Linked DNA regions of Ovis aries. The protein of the gene in region 1 purifies or fractionates together with the protein of each later gene. This does not show direct contact. Links are inferred from orthologs where the notes say so. Each region holds a gene or a part of one and is shown on either strand. Other genes may lie near its edges.

Evidence for each region.
Region 2: the proteins of STAU2 (region 1) and EIF2AK2 purify together in Homo sapiens (affinity purification with mass spectrometry; 3 studies listed by BioGRID and IntAct, with this or other methods). This does not show direct contact. The link is inferred for Ovis aries from reciprocal best matches to the Homo sapiens genes STAU2 and EIF2AK2.

What each region holds. Positions count from the first base shown.
Region 1 is NC_056062.1:49,918,957-49,928,225, reverse strand, and holds part of STAU2 (double-stranded RNA-binding protein Staufen homolog 2), read left to right. Parts: intron 1-1,276; coding exon 1,277-1,436; intron 1,437-2,668; coding exon 2,669-2,776; intron 2,777-4,810; coding exon 4,811-5,023; intron 5,024-9,269. UniProt on the Homo sapiens protein: RNA-binding protein required for the microtubule-dependent transport of neuronal RNA from the cell body to the dendrite.
Region 2 is NC_056056.1:86,933,223-86,942,491, forward strand, and holds part of EIF2AK2 (interferon-induced, double-stranded RNA-activated protein kinase), read left to right. Parts: intron 1-3,309; coding exon 3,310-3,426; intron 3,427-5,503; coding exon 5,504-5,699; intron 5,700-8,514; coding exon 8,515-8,643; intron 8,644-9,269.

The DNA.
Region 1 (9,269 bases):
TCCCTTCTTTTTCTGTTTAAAATGTATATGGAACTTCTGTGATGATCCACTGGCTAAGACTCCATTCTCCCAATGCAGGGAGCCCAACTTCCATCTCTGGTCAGGGAACTAGATCTGTGTGCCTCAACTAAGAGCTGGCACAGCCAACTAAATAAATATTAAAAAACAATGTGTATTTCTAACATCCCTAGATATTCTACCTATTTATTTTATTTATTGTCTGTCTTCTCCACTGTAAGGTATGTTTTTGTTTGCTGTAATATTCCCTCATCATAAGAAGGTGCCCATAAATAATTGTTAAATTAATAGATTATATTGCATAGCCTCTTAATTTCTTTTGTTTGTACTCTCTTCTTACAACCCCCTTACAATCTCCCCTCATGTTGGCATCATTGCAGCTTTCTAATTATGCTTCCTCTCAGTCCCATTAAACACAAACCTGCTAAAAGTTTTCACTTTAAATACATTTTATTATGGTTCGTTCTGCTTTACAATTGGCTGAAACTCCCCATTCTTTCTTATGTTGAATCTGCTCTCCTTAGTACTTTGCAAAGTACTTACTACTTTACAGTAGTGGTTCCATCTGTCTGCCCTTCCCATGTCTAATCGTGGTTACCTTCTGCTGAGAGCATGGCAGTCTGCATATTGTCACCTGGATGGTTTCGCCTGTTTTCTTGCCTCTGTGGCAGGTCCCCATCTTTCAGCCCCAGACCATTGGCTCACTTCCGTCAAAATATAACTGAAAATGTGTTGCCAGGAGGTCTTCTGTGATACAATGAAATAATTTTTACAGTATTAAGTTGTGTTTAATGTTTTCCAAAATACATTTTTCATGGAGACCAGATATATGCTTTATTATCGATATATATGCCGACTCACATTTTATCTTTTATAAATACATTTGTGAGGTAAAACTTTACTGAGGTTACTAGGAGGTTATAATGGATCTGGGCTTCCCAGGTGGCACTGGTGGTAAAAAACCCACCTGCCAGTGCAGGGGACATAAGAGACTTGGGCCTGATCCCTGGGAAGCTCCCCTGGAGGAGAGCATGGAAACTCACTTCAGTGTTCTTGCCTGGAGAATCCCCATGGATAGAGGAGCCTGGCGTGCTACAGTCCATGGGGTCACAAAAGTCGGACATGACTGGAGTGCCTTAGCACACATGCACATAGTGGATTATACCTTCCTATTTACATTTTAAACAAAACAAATTTTACTAATGATTACAGTGATTTTTATTGAACTTATATTAACATTTTCATTTTCTTACTTTAGGTATCATTGCCCAGTGCCCAAGATCTTTTACGTTCAGCTGACTGTAGGAAATAATGAATTTTTTGGGGAAGGGAAGACTCGACAAGCCGCTAGACACAATGCCGCGATGAAAGCCCTTCAAGCACTGCAGAATGAACCTATTCCAGAAAAATCAGCTCAGGTGGGTCCCTGCAGTGTGTGGCAGTCTATCTCTAATAGCTGCCCAGGGAGATTACTGAGAAGACAAAGAAGCGCTTCTTTACGAATAGAGGAAGTCTCTGCTGGTAGAAGGGAACACTGGATTGGCTGTGGTGGCACCTCAGCTCACCTGTGTGCTCGGTTAGACTCTGTGTCTTGTTGGGATGGCCTTGCCTTCGAGCACTTTGGCTCAGCCTAGGGAGTCCACTTCCCAGGCAAGGCAGGATTTGGGAATGTGAGCAAGGATGAGAAATAACATTCGTTTACTTTGCATTGAGTGCTGTGTTTTATTGAGCATGAGTTACATTGTGTTAATTCACCTAGAATCAAGGAGTTTAAAGTGGAGGAGATATTTATGGATTTTTTTAGTCCTACTTTATTTTACCAGTGAGGTTATTCGAAGCAGATATACAGTAACTTCACTCATTCCCATGGTTTCAGCTGCTTTCTCTGTTGACTTCAAAATGGTGTCTTTAGTTCAGGAGTGTCTAATAAGTCCCCTTCTTATTGAGTTCTCCACTTCGTTATTTGAAGCTAGGTCCAGCCTTTAGTTTGCCCTTCCTCAAGCCTGTTGTCCCTCCCGCTTTGAGATTTATCTTAGTTAATGGCAGACTTAGTATTTTTGTCCTTGTGCACTCTCATCATGACTCTTAACGTTTGCTTCGCAGTCTTTCCACTAAGTGCTAAGCTTCTTGACAGCAAGAATACTGTCTCTTGATCTCTCTAAGGCTTACCTGGTGTTCAGCATGTATAAGGCTCCAGAAGTAAGTGTTAAATAGGTCAGAGCCAGACGCAGAGCTCCAGCATTCTGGTTTGCACCCTATACTCTTTCTGCAACTTAGTCTTCATAGAAGATTAAATATCACATGCTGGTGGAGATACTGTGTGTGTGTGTGTGTGTGAGAGAGAGAGAGAGAGAGATGGAGGTCTGTAAAGAAAACTAAGTCTGGGGATATCTACATCAGATTAGTGTTTATTTGAGTAAAAGGTTTCCACACTCAGCATTTATCCTTCTACTCTGAGGGAAAAAACTTAAAACCAAATCACAAGAAGCCTCTCAGCAAAGCCCTTGACTGCGGTGGTCCCATGGAAATCCACAGGATCCAGTCTGGTTTCCTGTGATGTGTAAGATAGGTTCTCTTGATTGTTTAGTACATGTAAAGCTTGTTACAAAGTGAAGATTCAGTGTTGTCCTATTTTTTTTTTGTGATTTAGAATTGCGAATCAGGAAAAGAAATGGATGATGACAAAGATGCAAATAAGTCTGAGATCAGCTTAGTGTTTGAAATTGCTCTGAAGAGAAATATGCCCGTCAGTTTTGAGGTATGTATTCAGCAGAGATCTCCCATTTTTTTTCCCTCCTTGCTCCTCATTGTTTTAAACAAACAAACAAAACAAATCTGACAAATAAAATTTTAGCATCCTGAAAGAATCAATGTGCTCCCTCTGTTTGAGCTATCATGGAATGATGCAGGCCCTAAGAAATCAGAGCTTGCAATATCATGGAGTCCTCCCAATCTCTTTGGCTTTTCTGTATTCAGCCATTTGTTTCATCATAAAATTTATTTTCCAAATTTAAGATAATTTATAGTCACCTATAAGATTTGGCATTTTGATAAGGTCACATTGAAAATATTCAATATATAATTAACATTTAGTCACATGTATATATTAATATTTAATTTCTTTTAAATTTATGGAGGCCAAAATAGAAATTTTACCTTTTAACTTTACATTTAACCATTACTGATAAGTCACTAAGACATAATTAAGCAGTTCTCTAGTTTAAAACTGGATAAATATGTCATAAAATATTTGTAAAATTATGTGGCATTTAAAAAAGAAATAATACTAAATTGTTATAACACCTCCTTTATTAAGAGGTCACTAATTTTGCAACTCAAGTATTTAGGAAATAGGCAAAACCCAGGAATAAGCTGAAACAATTGAGGAATATTTTCCCTCAAATTATGTTTTGTTCACCTATTGGAAAACTCATGCTTTACTCACTGGCAGGATCTACTCACCTCAACTGAGAGCCTGTTTTCTTTCTTAAACATAATTCTGTTACAAGTTGTGTTGTTACCTGATTTCTCAGCCCATAGCAGATTAAAGGCAGCAGAATGAAGAAGGCAGGAAGAGAATGTACCTGAGGGCCTATTGGTCCCAGCGAGAAATGATAGGGAAAATATGGAAAACCTATCAAAAGTAACTGCATTTAACTTGAAAGTCTTTGGAAGATGGGGCCTTTTAAATGCTAGGCGAACAGGAACAGTTTTAAAAGTTAGATGTCCTTAGAGGCCTTAGATGTCCTTAGTGTAGAATATTTCATGTTCATAATGGTGATCTAATGTGAGCAGTAAGAGGCTGAATATTTAGTCAGTAAAATATATATGTATATTTTTTGAGAAAGATGTCTATCAAAGTGGTTAAACAGTTTTGGCGTTTCAATCTGTAAGCTTAAATTACTTGGAAAGTAAGCTTATCATAAATTAGTTTATCCTCAATAATACTGGATTATTGAGATACTGTATCTTTTCTTCATTGGTATCCAGTATTAGAAGATAAAATTTTAATATAATAGTCAATGGTAAACTGTTTAAATAGGGTATTTTTTTAATAGGTCAGGCTTTGACAGACACAATGAAGTTTTGAGCACTCAGGTCTTGGAAGGCATTTTGCTTCCCAAAATTGGCATAGTTTAAAAAGAGCTTGTTAAATACAGGATTTAGGAGCATTCATAGCTGACAGATTCATAATCCATTACTCTAGAAAGCGAGGTATTTTTATGGCAAATTTACTTACCTATTTAAGACCATGTCACAGAGAGTAAATATTCCTTATTGTAAGACAGCCTTTGAGGTCTCCATCAAAAATAGATGATTTTTCATCTATCACCTGTTTGTGAGAGGCTTCCACATGGAAGATGCTTCATAATTTATAGAACTCCAGTGAGACATACTTCTTGTACTCCAGTAACTTATTCACACAGAGGAGAAAGTTAGATATGTATGCAGTAATGGTATGTTTTATTATCTTTTATTATCCTTATTTTCTGTCCCATAAGAAACAGGGTAACCATAATTAGAATTGCCTTTTTTAAGCTAGTAAAACACAGTTTTGACCATGACTTAATATGTTTATTTAGATTTCTGTTTTTTCCAATGTAATTCATTAAGCATCATAAGTATGAGTCTCTGTATAATGAGTTCATAATAGTTTTATAGAAGAAATCCATAATTTTGGCATAATTCTTAATAATTTCAATTTTGATTTTTATATGATCATTAAGAAAGATTCATGCCATAAAAACCCATCTTAAGTCCCTGTATTGAATCTTTTACTTATATTTAATAGGTTATTAAAGAAAGTGGACCACCACACATGAAAAGCTTTGTGACCCGTGTGTCAGTGGGAGAGTTCTCCGCTGAAGGAGAGGGAAATAGCAAAAAACTCTCCAAGAAGCGCGCTGCAACCACTGTGCTACAGGAGCTTAAGAAACTTCCACCTCTGCCTGTGGTTGAAAAGCCAAAACTATTTTTTAAAAAACGCCCTAAAACAATAGTAAAGGTAAGTGTATGCTTGTGAATGTTATACTATATATATATAATATATATATTTATTATAGTGCATGCATGCTAAGTCGCTTCAGTTGTATCCAACTCTTTGCAACCCTATGGACCATAGCCCACCAGGCTCCTTGGTCCATGGGATTCTCCAGGCAAGAATACCGGAGTGGATTGCCATACTCTCCTCCAGGGGATCTTCCCCTGGTAACTCTAGTTAATGTTTTTCCGTAGGACAGGCTCCTAAGCCTGTGAGTTATAAGCAGAATCCGGGTCGGACATGTGTCTGTAAGTGAATAGTAATTCTGTTTTGCTTTTAGACACTTGTATACTTGGGTTCATTCATGAAATAATAATACCTTGCATATTTATAGTTTTTTATGTTTAAAAAATACTTTCTCAGTCATGAACACCTTTGGTAAAATTCTTATCATGATGAATGTACATGTTGCCCCTCATTTTACAAATAAGGTTTTATGAAACACGTTCAAAGAATTTGCTTGCTTGTGTTCACCGATCACGTGTGGCACCCTGAGCTACTGATCCATAATCCAGCGTTCTTTGTGCAGTCCACACTGCTGTGTGGTAACGTCCCAAGATTTTAGGCCGTGGTGATAGGACGCAGAGTGATAATTGCATGAGTAACACTCACGCTAATGACAGCAGCCGCGGCAGCAGACCGCAAGTATAAAGCACTTGGTGTGCCAGACGGGGCTCCAGTGCTTCATGTGCTGAATCACATTTAATCCACATAGCAGCCCTCGGGCTTCCCTGTTAGCGCAGTCGGTAAAGAATCCTGCAGTGCAGGAGACCTGGTTTGATTTCAGGGTTGGGAAGATGCCCTGGAGGAGGGCATGGCAACCCACTCCAGTGTTCTTGTCTGGAGAATCCCCATGGACAGAGGAGCCTGGCGGGCCACAGTCCATAGGGTCGCAGAGTTGGAGACGACTGAGAGACTGAGCACACCTCGGAGGTCATGGGATGGCCTGGTTTCTGTCCTCTCAGGCATGAGTGCCTTTTCAGAGAAGAATGTAGAGCCACACGGCTTTTCAGGATGTTGTGATTCTCTTTTATGGAATCAGATTTTGGGTACATTAATCAAAAAAAAATTAAGGCATAGTTCAGAGGAATGAGATGAATAATAATTGAACTTACATCACAAGATTGTTACATGTTACTCAAGATGATACATAGAATGCATTAGTTATTATTATTAAATATGTATTAACAGTACGAATAGTAAGTACTCAATAAATATTTGTTGCTTGTTTAGTTGGTAAGCTATGTCTGACTCTTTGTGACCCCATGGACTGTAGCTTGCCAGACTCCTCTGTCCATGGGATTTCCTGGGCAAGAATACTAGAGTGAGTTGCCATTTCCTCCTCCAGGCCACCTTCCCAACCTAGGGATTGAACCCACGACTCCTGCTTGGCAGGTGGATTCTTTACTACAGAGCCACCTGGGAAACCCATTCAATAAATACTAGCTTTTGTTATTTTGTATCTCATTCTGTCCACATTTTATATGTAGATGAATGTCTCCATGGTCTGTTTTCCTAAATTCTTTTGTATATAAAATCTACATACAGCTTCTCCATAGTGGAAGAACAGTGCTCTACATTACTGCAAAACTATTCACATTAACTTGCACCTAATCTATTAAACTAAATCTAATCTCAAATTAAGAATAACCAGCCTTTAGTCTAAAAAAAGATCTATCATTTTTATAGTAGACTATAAATATAACTCCGGTTACTTTTAACTATAGCCATTAAAAGCAAGAATATTGTTGAAATGTTATTTCTGAAAGAGCGGAGAAACATTTTGAACTTTAAAAATGATTTTTTGCTACTACCTCTATTATATATGCATTTTTAAAAAATTTTTATTTTTACTTTATTTTTCTTTACAATACTGTATTGGTTTTGCCATACATTGACATGAATCCACCACTGGTGTACATGCATTCCCAAACATGAACCCCCCTCCCACCTTCCTCCCCATAACATCTCTCTGGGTCATCCCCGTGCACCAGCCCCAAGCATCCTGTATCCTGCATCGGACATAGACTGGCGATTTGTTTCTTACATGATCGTATACATGTTTCAATGCCATTCTCCCAAATCATCCCACCCTCTCCCTCTCCCGCAGAACTTTCTTCTTGTCCACCATTCAGATCTCAGCTTACACTCAACTTCCTCAGGGAAGCCTTCTCTGGTTCTCCCTGACTCCCACATTCGTTTCAGTTCAGTTCAGTCACTCAGTTGTGTCTGACTCTTTGCAACCCCATGAATCGCAGCACGCCAGGCCTCCCTGTCCATCACCAACTCCCGGAGTTCACTCAGACTCACGTCCATCGAGTCAGTGATGCCATCCAGCCATCTCATCCTCTGTCATCCCCTTTTCCTCCTGCCCCCAATCCCTCCCAGCATCAGAGTCTTTTCCAATGAGTCAACTCTTCGCATGAGGTGGCGAAAGTACTGGAGTTTCAGCTTTAGCATCATTCCTTCCAGAGAACACCCACATTCATTTAGGCCCCTGCATTTTTCCTCACATACATCACACTTGGAATTACTTGTATCATATCTGTCTTATGTTAAAGTCTATAGATATTCTCTGAAATGTAAGGTTATTTTGAGAAAGCAACATGGATACAGTGAGTTGAAATCTAGGTTAATTTTGAGTATGATCAGACCTTATAATGGGCCAGTAAGTGGATCACCTTAGATAGTATCTTGGTTTTCACTGTTTTAGTCACTTCCTTAAATCTTTTACATCTAGGTTCTACCATTCCTTATAATGCAATAGAAACAGAAGATGTATCTGTTGATGATTTACCTTGATTTTATTTAGAATAAGGAAGCTATCACGTTGTCTCATTTGAACCTCTTAATCACTCTGAGATGTAGATATTATCCTCATTTTAAAGATGAGGTTCTTGGTGTTTAAGAAACTTCCCTCAGATCACAGAGTAGAGTCAGGTTTCCGGTCCAGTCACGTCTGATGCCAGTGCCAGTTTCAAACTGGTTGGTTGTGAACTCCTTTTGGATTTTAATTTACTCTACAGAGTTGCCTTGTTAAAATGTAAGACTACCTGATGGTGTCTTTGAATTTGTATTCTCAATTTTAATGTAATTCTCTTCTACCAGGTAAGGCCTCAGAGAAGGTTTTCTGCTGTTGGAGATAAAAGTTTTCTGGATAAGATTATCCTTACTGGTTTATTGTTGTTATTATTATTATTACTGCTGAATGTGATTTTGGCGTTGTGTCTGAGAAATCATTACCTAACCAAACCAGAAAAATTTCTTCTGTATTTTCTTTATGAAGTTTTAGATATTACATTTAAGCCTGTGAGCGATTTTGAGTTAATGTTTGTGTGATGTGTGGATTGAAATTTATTTCTACATGTGAATATCCAGTTGTTCCAGTACCATTGGTTGAAAGGCTACTCTTTCTCCACTGAATGGCTTTTGCACCCTTGTCGGCCGTGTGTGTATGGCTCTATTTCGGGTTGCCGTTCTGTTTCAGTGATTTCTTTCTCTCTCTTTATGCCAGTTCCACACATACTGTCTGGTTTTTTTTTTTGGCTGTGTCAGATCTTAGTTGTAGCACACTGAATCTTTGTTGCATCATGCGAGCTGTTTTGTTGCAGTGCATGGACTCTGGTTGTAGCGCACAGGCTTAGTTGCCCTGTGACATATGGGATATTAGTTCCCCGACCAGGGATTGAACCTGCATCCTCTGCAGTGCAAGGCAGATTGTTAACCACTGGACCATCAGGAAGTTCTGGTACCACACATACTGACCTGATTATTATAGCTTTATAATAAATCTTGAAATCAGGTATTTGGATTCCTCCAACTTTGTTCTTTTTTTCAAGGTGTTTTGATTATTTTCCCTTTGCATTTCCATGTGAATTTTAAACACTGGCTTATTAATTATTACCCAAAAAGAGCATGCTGGGATTTTGATTGGGATTGCAGAGAATTGGTAGATCAGTTGGAAAACAATTGACTTTTTAAAACTATTGGATCTGTTGCTCCATTTATGTGTGTCTGTCCACCTATTGAGACCTTATTTAATTTCACCAGTGTTTTATAGTTTTAATGGAGTATATATAAATTATATCATACTTTATATATTCTTCTGTGCTTGTTCTTACCACTTAACATTTTTTTTTCTTAAATTCATTCATCTTGATGCAGGTAGCAGTACTTAAATCTTAATTTTCACTGCTGTATGCCTTTTCAC
Region 2 (9,269 bases), on another chromosome or scaffold:
AGGTGACCTTTGAGTTTTTCTAGTCTCATCTCCTTATATTACAGAGGAGGAGAGTGAGATTCAAAGATGTGAACTGATTTGCCAAAGGTAAAAGCTAGTTGATAATTGTGCTGGTTGTCTATTATTGCGTAATACACCACTCCAAAATGCAGTGGCTTAAACACCAAATTGTTATTATCTCTTGTGGTCCTGTGAGTTGACGATGCTCACCCGGGTCATTCATCATGCATTTGCAGCCAGGGGTCATCTGAAAGCTTGGCTTGGCTGGACAGCGGAGATGGCTCTCACATGGCTGGCAGTGATGCTGGCTGTGGCTACAAGTGCAGCTGGCGCTGTTAACCAGGGCGCCTCCACCTGGCCCCTTTATGTGGCCTGGGCATTTCACAGCTTAGTTGTTGGGTTCTAAGAAGGACTGTCCCAGAGCAACTCATCCCAGAAGGGAGCAGTCTTGGAAGTTCCGCATCATATTGATTAAACAAAATCACTATGGTCAGCTCGAGGGAGAGGGCAAATAGACTCTTACTGCTTAATCTGAGGAGTGGATGCGAGCGTGGGGAGAGAAGATATTAATGATGACCATCCTTGGGGCCTATCTCCTATGGTAATAAGGTAGAGATTTAGAACTTATCCTCTGGAATTCCAATCTACTGTGTTCCCACCATTACCCAATGCTTCCCATCTTTATTTTATGTCTTATTTGTGCCCCTCCCCAACCCCACCCCAATTATTGGATAACAGAACTTTAGGAAGGAAGACACAGAGGAAGGAGCTCTGAAACCCCATGTTCGCTGATCCTGCCTGTTATTTTCTGGCAGCTGTTATTATTTGTAATATGGCCAGACAGATCCCTCAAGGATCAGAGGAGATGGAAAACGGATATAAGTGAAGGAAAATGACATAAGAAAAGAAGAAGCAGGTGTGGCGTCTTAGATGCTCTTCATCCAGTCAAACCAACGTATTGTTTGTCCCATGGACAAAGCCTTGCGGTTGAAATAACTTCATACTACTTGGCATCAAAACAAGGCTTTTTCCTTCTTCATTGTTTTGCTTACCAGGAATACTGCTATTCCTTCTATCCCATAACATTTTTTTAACGGTAATCCTTAATGATGATAAGGGTGCAATACCTTGAACATTTCTTGTGGCTTCATAGATTCAGTTCAGTTCAGTCGCTCAGTTGTGTCCGACTCTTTGCAACCCCCTGAATCGCAGCACGCCAGGCCTCCCTGTCCATCACCAACGCCTGGAGTTCACTCAAACTCGCGTCCATCGAGTCAGTGATGCCATCCAGCCATCTCATCCTCTGTCATCCCCTTTTCCTCCTGCCCCCATTCCCTCCCAGCATCAGAGTCTTTTCCAATGGGTCAACTCTTCGCGTGAGGTGGCCAAAGTACTGGAGTTTCAGCTTTAGCATCACTCCCTCCAAAGAAATCCCAGGGCTGATCTACTTTAGAATGGACTGGTTGGGTCTTCTTGCAGTCCAAGGGACTCTCAAGAGTCTTCTCCAACACCATAGTTCAAAAGCATAGTTAAAAATACACTTGGAGATATGCATCGAGAAGCATAAAAAAATTTATATGCTTTGACCTATGGATTTCCTATTGGGAACCTATTCCAAGGATATTACCCAGATTACAAGAAAAGTTATTCAAGTAGATAAAAATAACAATGTCATTTATAACAGTGAGAAATTAGAGCAAACAGAATGTTCAGCAATAAAGGAATGATTTAGTATGTTTTGTGCTCTCCTCTGATCAATGACTGTTTTGCGGTCATTAAAAGTGAGGGTTGTATACTGTAAATATTTATACACACTGTGAATGGTACAATGCTAGAAGTTGCTTCGGAATAATCCAGGGAAAGATGAGGAAGTAGGTAAGAGTATACAGGAAATAAGACTGGCCAGGAGTTAATTACTGTTTCATCTGATGGCCAGTTAGGGGTTCATTCTACTATTTGCTCTACTTTTTAATACTTTTGAAATTTTACATTAAAATGTTTATACATGATGGTTAGGCAGATTGTATAGTAATAGGGAAAAATTTAAAGATAATATATGAGAAAATATTAGATAAATATATACACTATAATTATACATATGTAAATATGTATATGAAGAAAGACTATAAGAAATCACCTAAACTCAAGTGTGTTAGGATTGTGTTAATATATGAGTAATTTTTTATCTATTTTTACAAATTTTACATCATATAGAACTTTTCAGATTCAAAAAGTAAGTTGCAAAATGTTTGCTTATCCTTTCTTATCCTTGAAATCTCAAATTTATGTACTCCACTTAGCATCAGTTCAGTTCAGTCGCTCAGTCGTGTCCAACTCTTTGTGACCCCATGAATCGCAGCACGCCATGCCTCCCTGTCCATCACCAACTCCCGGAGTTCACTCAGACTCACGTCCATTGGGTCCGTGATGCCATCCAGCCATCTCATCCTCTGTCGTCCCCTTCTCCTCCTGCCCCCAATCCCTCCCAGCATCAAAGTCTTTTCCAATGAGTCAACTCTTCGCATGAGGTGGTCAGAGTATTGGAGTTTCAGCTTTAGCATCATTCCTTCCAAAGAAATCCTAGGGTTGATCTCCTTCAGAATGGACTGGTTGGATCTCCTTGCAGTCCAATGGACTCTCAAGAGTCTTCTCCAACACCACAGTTCAAAAGCATCAATTCTTCGGCGCTCAGCCTTCTTCACAGTCCAACTCTCACATCCATACACGACCACTGGGAAAACCATAGCTTTGACTAGCATAGGACTGTCATAATTCTTACGTATGCATCCCTGCAAAGCTCCCACATTGTGCAGTGAAATTTCAGTTTCTCTGCCTAGATCACCCTCTGTGTGTATTTTTGCCACGCACTGAAAATTTTGAATTAGGTTCTTCATGCTGCTTGGATTACCTACCCCTGCTGCCCAAATGTGGTTTGCTTTTGAAATCCAAAGTGATTTTAACACAACTCTACATAAAACATAATGGGTGATTTTTATTTTAGATCCAAAAAAATTTTACATCACTGATAGCTCACAAGAGTACTACCTATGACTTCTAGATTGTCTGAGGTTTGAAATAATTTTAATCACTGTTTTTTTTTTCTTATGTTGAGAGTGAAAACAGCTGATTTTTTTCTGTGTTCCCTCTTTCCTTTTGAGAGGTGCTGGCTTCCATTCTAAACCTCAGTGTGGGAACCGTGGTAGCTGTTTAATAAGGGTATATTGGTGATTGCCTCCTATTGCTCAAGGTGTTTTGTTATTATCAGGGATGGATACTGACGCCTTTATGTTCCCTGTTTCTTTTAACTAGGAAGGTAGAGCGTGAAGTGAAAGTTTTGGCAAAACTTAATCATCCAAATATTGTTCACTACCACAGTTGCTGGGACGGGGTTGATTATGATCCTGAGGAAAGCTTAAATTCTTCAAGGTAACTAAAAATAAACTCTCATAGTCTTAATAGGAGGAGCGAAACTTGTTTACTGTGTGTGGGTCAGTGGATAAGGCCACTAATTGTTACATTTAATAATCATAACCAGAAACTCTGAGACACTGTCATGCCTCCATTCTGCAAATGAGGAGACAATGAATAATCTTTTCTTTGCTGCAGATTTGCTTTAAAAAATATGTGTTTTTTTTTTTTTAAAAAACTGTCCTCTGTGGCTTCCCTGGTGAGTCAGATGGCAGAGAATCTGCCTGCAGTGTGGGGGACCTGCGTTTGATCCCTGGGTTGGGAAGATCCCCTAAAGAAGCAAATGGCAACCCACTCCAGTAAATTCTTGCCTGGAGAATTTCACTGACAGAGGAACCTCGTGGACTACAGTCCATGGGGGTTGCAAAGAGTCACACAACTGAGTGACTAACACTTTCTGTGGTTTTTGAAATCTCAGGCTTAGGTTTCTTGACTCTGAAGTTTAAAGTACAGACTTTCTCACGTGCCCTGACTCCAGTCCAGGTGGTAAATGCAGTCTTGTGAAGAAGGTTTGCACGTGTAGACGGTGCACCTGGAGGCCGCCCTCCCCCCACTGCTAACGCTCTTCTGCTCCGCTCAGCTGGTTGGCAGGGTGCAGTCATGGGATCCCTTCTGTGTGTGATCACACCACTCATGGTGAGGTGATGGGCAGTCTAAATAATTCCAAGACCCTGAGCGGTGGTGGGGGTACCCCCCGGCCCTTGCATTACTCATGTTTGTCTCTGGCAAGCCACTGCAAAAGGACTGAAGGGTTATAAAGAGCCTCCCTTTGAAAGTTACCCAGTGTTCCTTGGAGACAGTTCTTTCAGTGCAAACCTGAGGTCGTGGTGAGCCTGTTCATTCACCATCTCCTGGCTCCAGCCCTGTCTCCACACCATGTAATTTAGAACTGTATCATTAGTTTCAGAAGTACCATCTGCATATGGATTTCTTCAGCTTTTAGAAAATTCCTGGCTACCTTTTTTTATTTTCTAGCCAACATATGCTCAAAGAATTTAAATTAATATTAAAGCCAACTTAGTTCAGAAAAGAACAACTACCATGATTAGCGAAATCGGTCCTCCTTGCTGTGTGCTGTGTGCTTACTCGGTCAGTCATATCCAACTCTTTGTGACCCCATGGACTGTAGCCCACCAGGCTCCTCTGTTCGTGGGATTTTCCAGACAAGCAAACTGGAGTGGGTTGCCATTTCCTACTCCACAGGATTTTGCCAACCCAGGCATCAAACTCACGTCTCTTGAGTCTCCTGCACTGGCAGGCAGATGCTTTGTCACTAGCGCCACCCGGGAAGCCCTGCCTCATTGCTATGCCTCATAACAACTTTTGGCATTTCTCTTAGAGCTCCTGTCCATGCACTACTGCAGCAGCCCCTAACCTTTTTGGTGCCAGGGACTGGTTTCATGGAAGACAATTTTTCCATGGGCCAGGGAGAGGGGATGGTTTGGGGATGATTCAAGCATATTACATTTTTTGTGTTATTTCTGTTATTATTATATAACCTCCACTTCAGATCATCAGGCATTAGATCCCAGGGGTTGGGGCCTGCTGTACTATTGTTTTCTGCTTGTTTTTCCTTTATCTCTCTCCCATCAAACTATAATCCTCATGAGAGCAAGGCTAGTGTCTAACTCATTTTCTTATCTGTAGGTGCCTGTTCCGTGTCTTTTGCAAAATAGATGCTCAGTAGAGCAATGGTGAATTAAAATGTTTCAAAATTACAATATATAATAATGAAATTTGGTTTTCTGCAATTCCGTCATATTTTTGTGTCCCTTCCTATCTATTAGCAAAGATAGTCAAGGACCTTCAGCGTTAAAGAATGGGAAGGCTGCTACTTTACAACTTAGCTAAACAATGCTTTGATATTTGGGAACTTATGACCTAAATAAAGAGTGGTTTATTATGTATTGACTCACATTTGTTATATTTAGATTTCTGTTTTGAGACGTTTGGCATTTTTAAGAAGGTGTCATTTTTTAAATCTAATGTTTAAGTGTATTTTTTAATAAATTTATTTTTATTGCTACTTCTACAGTGAATTTTATCCCAGATCAAAGACTAAGTGCCTTTTCATCCAAATGGAATATTGTGATAAAGGTACATTGGCGGAATGGATTGACGAAAGAAGAGGCAAGGATCCAGACAAACGTTTGGCTTTGGAATTCTTTCAACAAATAACAATAGGAGTGCATTATATACATTCAGAACAGTTAATTCACAGAGACCTTAAGGTGAGTGGAAAATGTGCTGTATTGGGAATTGATCAATAGAGTTTATTAATGTGAAAGTCTGTCTTCTTTAATTTTAGAATTGATCGACAGTCATGAGGAAATAACATCTCTGATCCTGTAAAGTTAGAGTGGATATAGCACTTGCCCCAGGTACCAATCTGTAGAATCAATCAGGAGGTTGCCAGGGCTGTAAACTTACTGAGACGCTGTGCTCTGCAAGAAGCAGCTCATTGCCCATTCACTTCTGGTCCTGTTTGTCTTCCTGGCTGATACCTTCACCCCGGTTGTAAACACTAACAGCGTTAGTATGCTGGACATTTCTGTGCACATAATTCTCATGCCTGGAACATCCAGTTGAGTGTTCTGTCTCTGCCTCTCCTGCTTCCCAGGCTTGTCTGAGAGGCAGAAGAGACTCTGGTGACTCTGGCTTTGGATACACAAATCTCTTAACCTTTTAAGTCATTATTCTTGACAGCAGTCACAGCCACTAAGTCCAGAGTCTAGAATTTGCTTGGCACTTGGTGAGACCTCTCTGCCCCATGATTGGAAAACTGCAGCAATGCAAACCTTGGAACATGCAGTATACTTTTGTATTTTCATTTTCTTCTGGCTTCCCAGTTTCTTTCACGGTCTAGATGAGCAGTTTTCCCACTTCCTCCTCAAAATCAGACAGAAGAGCTTTTCAGTCTTCCCTCGGCACTCTGCTCTGTTCCCTGTGATTTGGGTACAGTCATCGAAAACCTCCCATGCTGAATCCTATCACCAAAACTTTGCTCATGTGCTCACATGAGACACTCTTCTACCTGTCCCCTTTGGTCTTAATTTCTTTATGAGCTTTTCCTGGTCCTTCTGGATCAGACAGAAGCACCTTGTCTATATGGACCTTGGGCTTATCCCACATGTCTAAAACAGCCAGGAAGGAGACACAAAGAAAAATGTTCCTTGAGAAAAATAAGCAGCCATGTGCATAGTTGTTTGTTGGCCTTGGTAGGAAAAGATGGCCCTTAAGAGGTATTGCATCCTTGGTCTTCTCAGGGGCTGGATGTCTGATGCCTTCATATTGGGGTGCCTCTGGTTCCAATATCTCATTTTGCTAATAACAGTATCTGAAGGTATTCTTTGAAGTTGGAAGGATATACGGACTCCGTTCAAAAGAATACATTTAGAATGGCTGTACCTTCACTTTGAAATGAATCATATAGAGTTAAATAAGAAATTAAGCACAATTATCTCTTTATACAATCATTTGCAAATAAATGATCTACTTACACAGTCATCTCCTCTACTCAGAGGTTTGGGTATTTCCTCCCAGGCCCTCATCAGGATGAGTTAATGAAAGTGCGTAGCGCTCCCTCCTCCCACCACGTGGTCCACCAGTTCCCTCCTGTATCTGCCCTGCTTGTGCCTCTTGTCAGGGAGTCATCTTTTCTGGGGTCTGTAGAGAGTGTTTGCTCTTTGTCTGCAGGTGCTCAAAGGTCAGACTTTAATACTACAGAGGCTTCTTTCATCTTTTTTAACTTGCTAACTTCACTGATACAGTTACTGCTTTTTCACATCTAAGAGAAAATGTAAACAAAAGTGTGTGTGTTATTTTGTGATGCTTTGCAGAATACCTGCTGCTGGTGGCTTTGCCAGATAATGGTCTTTACTCAATAAAGCCCCTGTTCTATAAAGTCAGCCAGCATTTACCTTAAGAACTAGACCAAAGATGCTGGTGAGAGACACAAAGGTTTCTGGAGAGAGGGCTTATAGGCTGAGGAGGTTCAATTTCTCAATTGCCCCAGGCTCCTCGGTCAACTTATTCTTGTGCCTCCTGGATAAAGTTTGTACCCCTTTTTTTGCCACACCTTGTGGGATCTTCATTCCATGACCAGGGATCAAACCTGGGCCCCCTGCAGTGGAAGCGCAGAGTCCTCATCAACAACCTTCCTGGTTTCATGGTCTTTAGAATATTAGTCAATACCTTCTACAAAGTTGTGGAATTGTCATTCTTTTCTTCCTTTTTTTTTTTTTCATTGTGCTTAAAGAATTATGTGGAAAAATATATTTCAGTGCTAGGCATCAGCTTCCAGTTAACTTGGTAGCCTTCAAAGACAGAGGGGCTGTGTTTGTTCAGAAGTCAGAAGCCTAGGGAAATGAATATAAAGGAAGCTTCCAGGGAAAATTCTGCACATGGTGTTCTGCAGCATTACTGGGAATGGCCTCATTCTCAGAATCTCAGAATTGCAGAGGATCTTGAGGGTGTCTCCTTCAATCCCTTTCAAATGCTGGACTTGTGTTTGCAGTGTTTCCACCAAGTGGGTGTCCAGCCCTGTCTTGAATACCTTGTAGGATGGGGAACTCTAACTCCCATCTGTTGGACCACATGGTTACTATCTTCAGTTCAGTCGCTCAGTCGTGTCAGACTCTTTGTGACCCCATGAATTGCAGCACGCCAGGCCTCCCTGTCCATCATCAACTCCTGGAGTTCACCCAAACCCACGTCGTATCAGGATATATTAAAAGCAAGTCTTGAGGTCGTTTCCATCCTCTAGTCCTGGATCTACCCCACAGGGACCAGGCAGGAGTGAATCCATCTTTGACTTCAGCTACCTGGAGGCAGCTATGCCCCAAGCTTTCTCTGCTGTCGGCTAAAATGTCCTGACTTCCTCAGCTAGCATTTTAAAGACTGATATTAATAAGTTTCCTGTTTTGGGCTACCTAGGAGAGGGTAAATGCCTTACAAGTAAATTTTATAATAGCTGTTATGAAGTATGAATTGGATATGTGATAAAAGTCTGTCAAATTAGTACTTATAACATATTTTTTTCGGCAGCCAAGTAACATATTTTTAGTAGCTGCGAACCACATCAAGATTGGAGACTTTGGACTTGTCACATACCTGAAAAATGATGAAATGCGGACAAGTAAAAAGGGAACTTTACGGTACATGAGCCCAGAACAGGTGAGGGCCCCTTTCTTTCTGTCAGATACTTTTTGCCTCTTTCATTTTTTTAATTATAAAAATAACAGGTACTCATAAAATTAAAACAATCCATAAGCAAATAGAATGAAAATGGGAAAATTACTATTACTCTTCCTTTTTATTCCTACTCTTCTCACCAGAGTTGATAGTTTATCCTTTTAGGTCATTTTCTTTGAGTTATAAAAAATATATAGATGCATATATTTATGGAGACTTTTTTACATAAAAATAATAAATACATTTTATAAGGCTACTAAAAGTGATTCTGTGCCTTAATTTTTTTTTTTTACTCAACAGTGTATCATAACCTTCCCATATTTGTACGAATAGATCTGACACATTGGTTTTAACAACGGTATTGTGTGCCAAAATGCAGATATACTGCAGTCATTCAACTATTTCCTGACTGATGGGAATTTATCTAGGCCGTTTTCAGCCTTTTACATTTGGAGACAGGTTATGTGTCTTCTTCCTTACCTTTGAGTCTAAAAACAAATATTTCTATGAGGATCAATGATAGAGTCTTTGAAGTGAGATTGTTGACTAGAATGACAGGTGTGTTTCATAAAAACGTAGGGTGTTTTCAAGGTGTGTAAGTAGAAGTC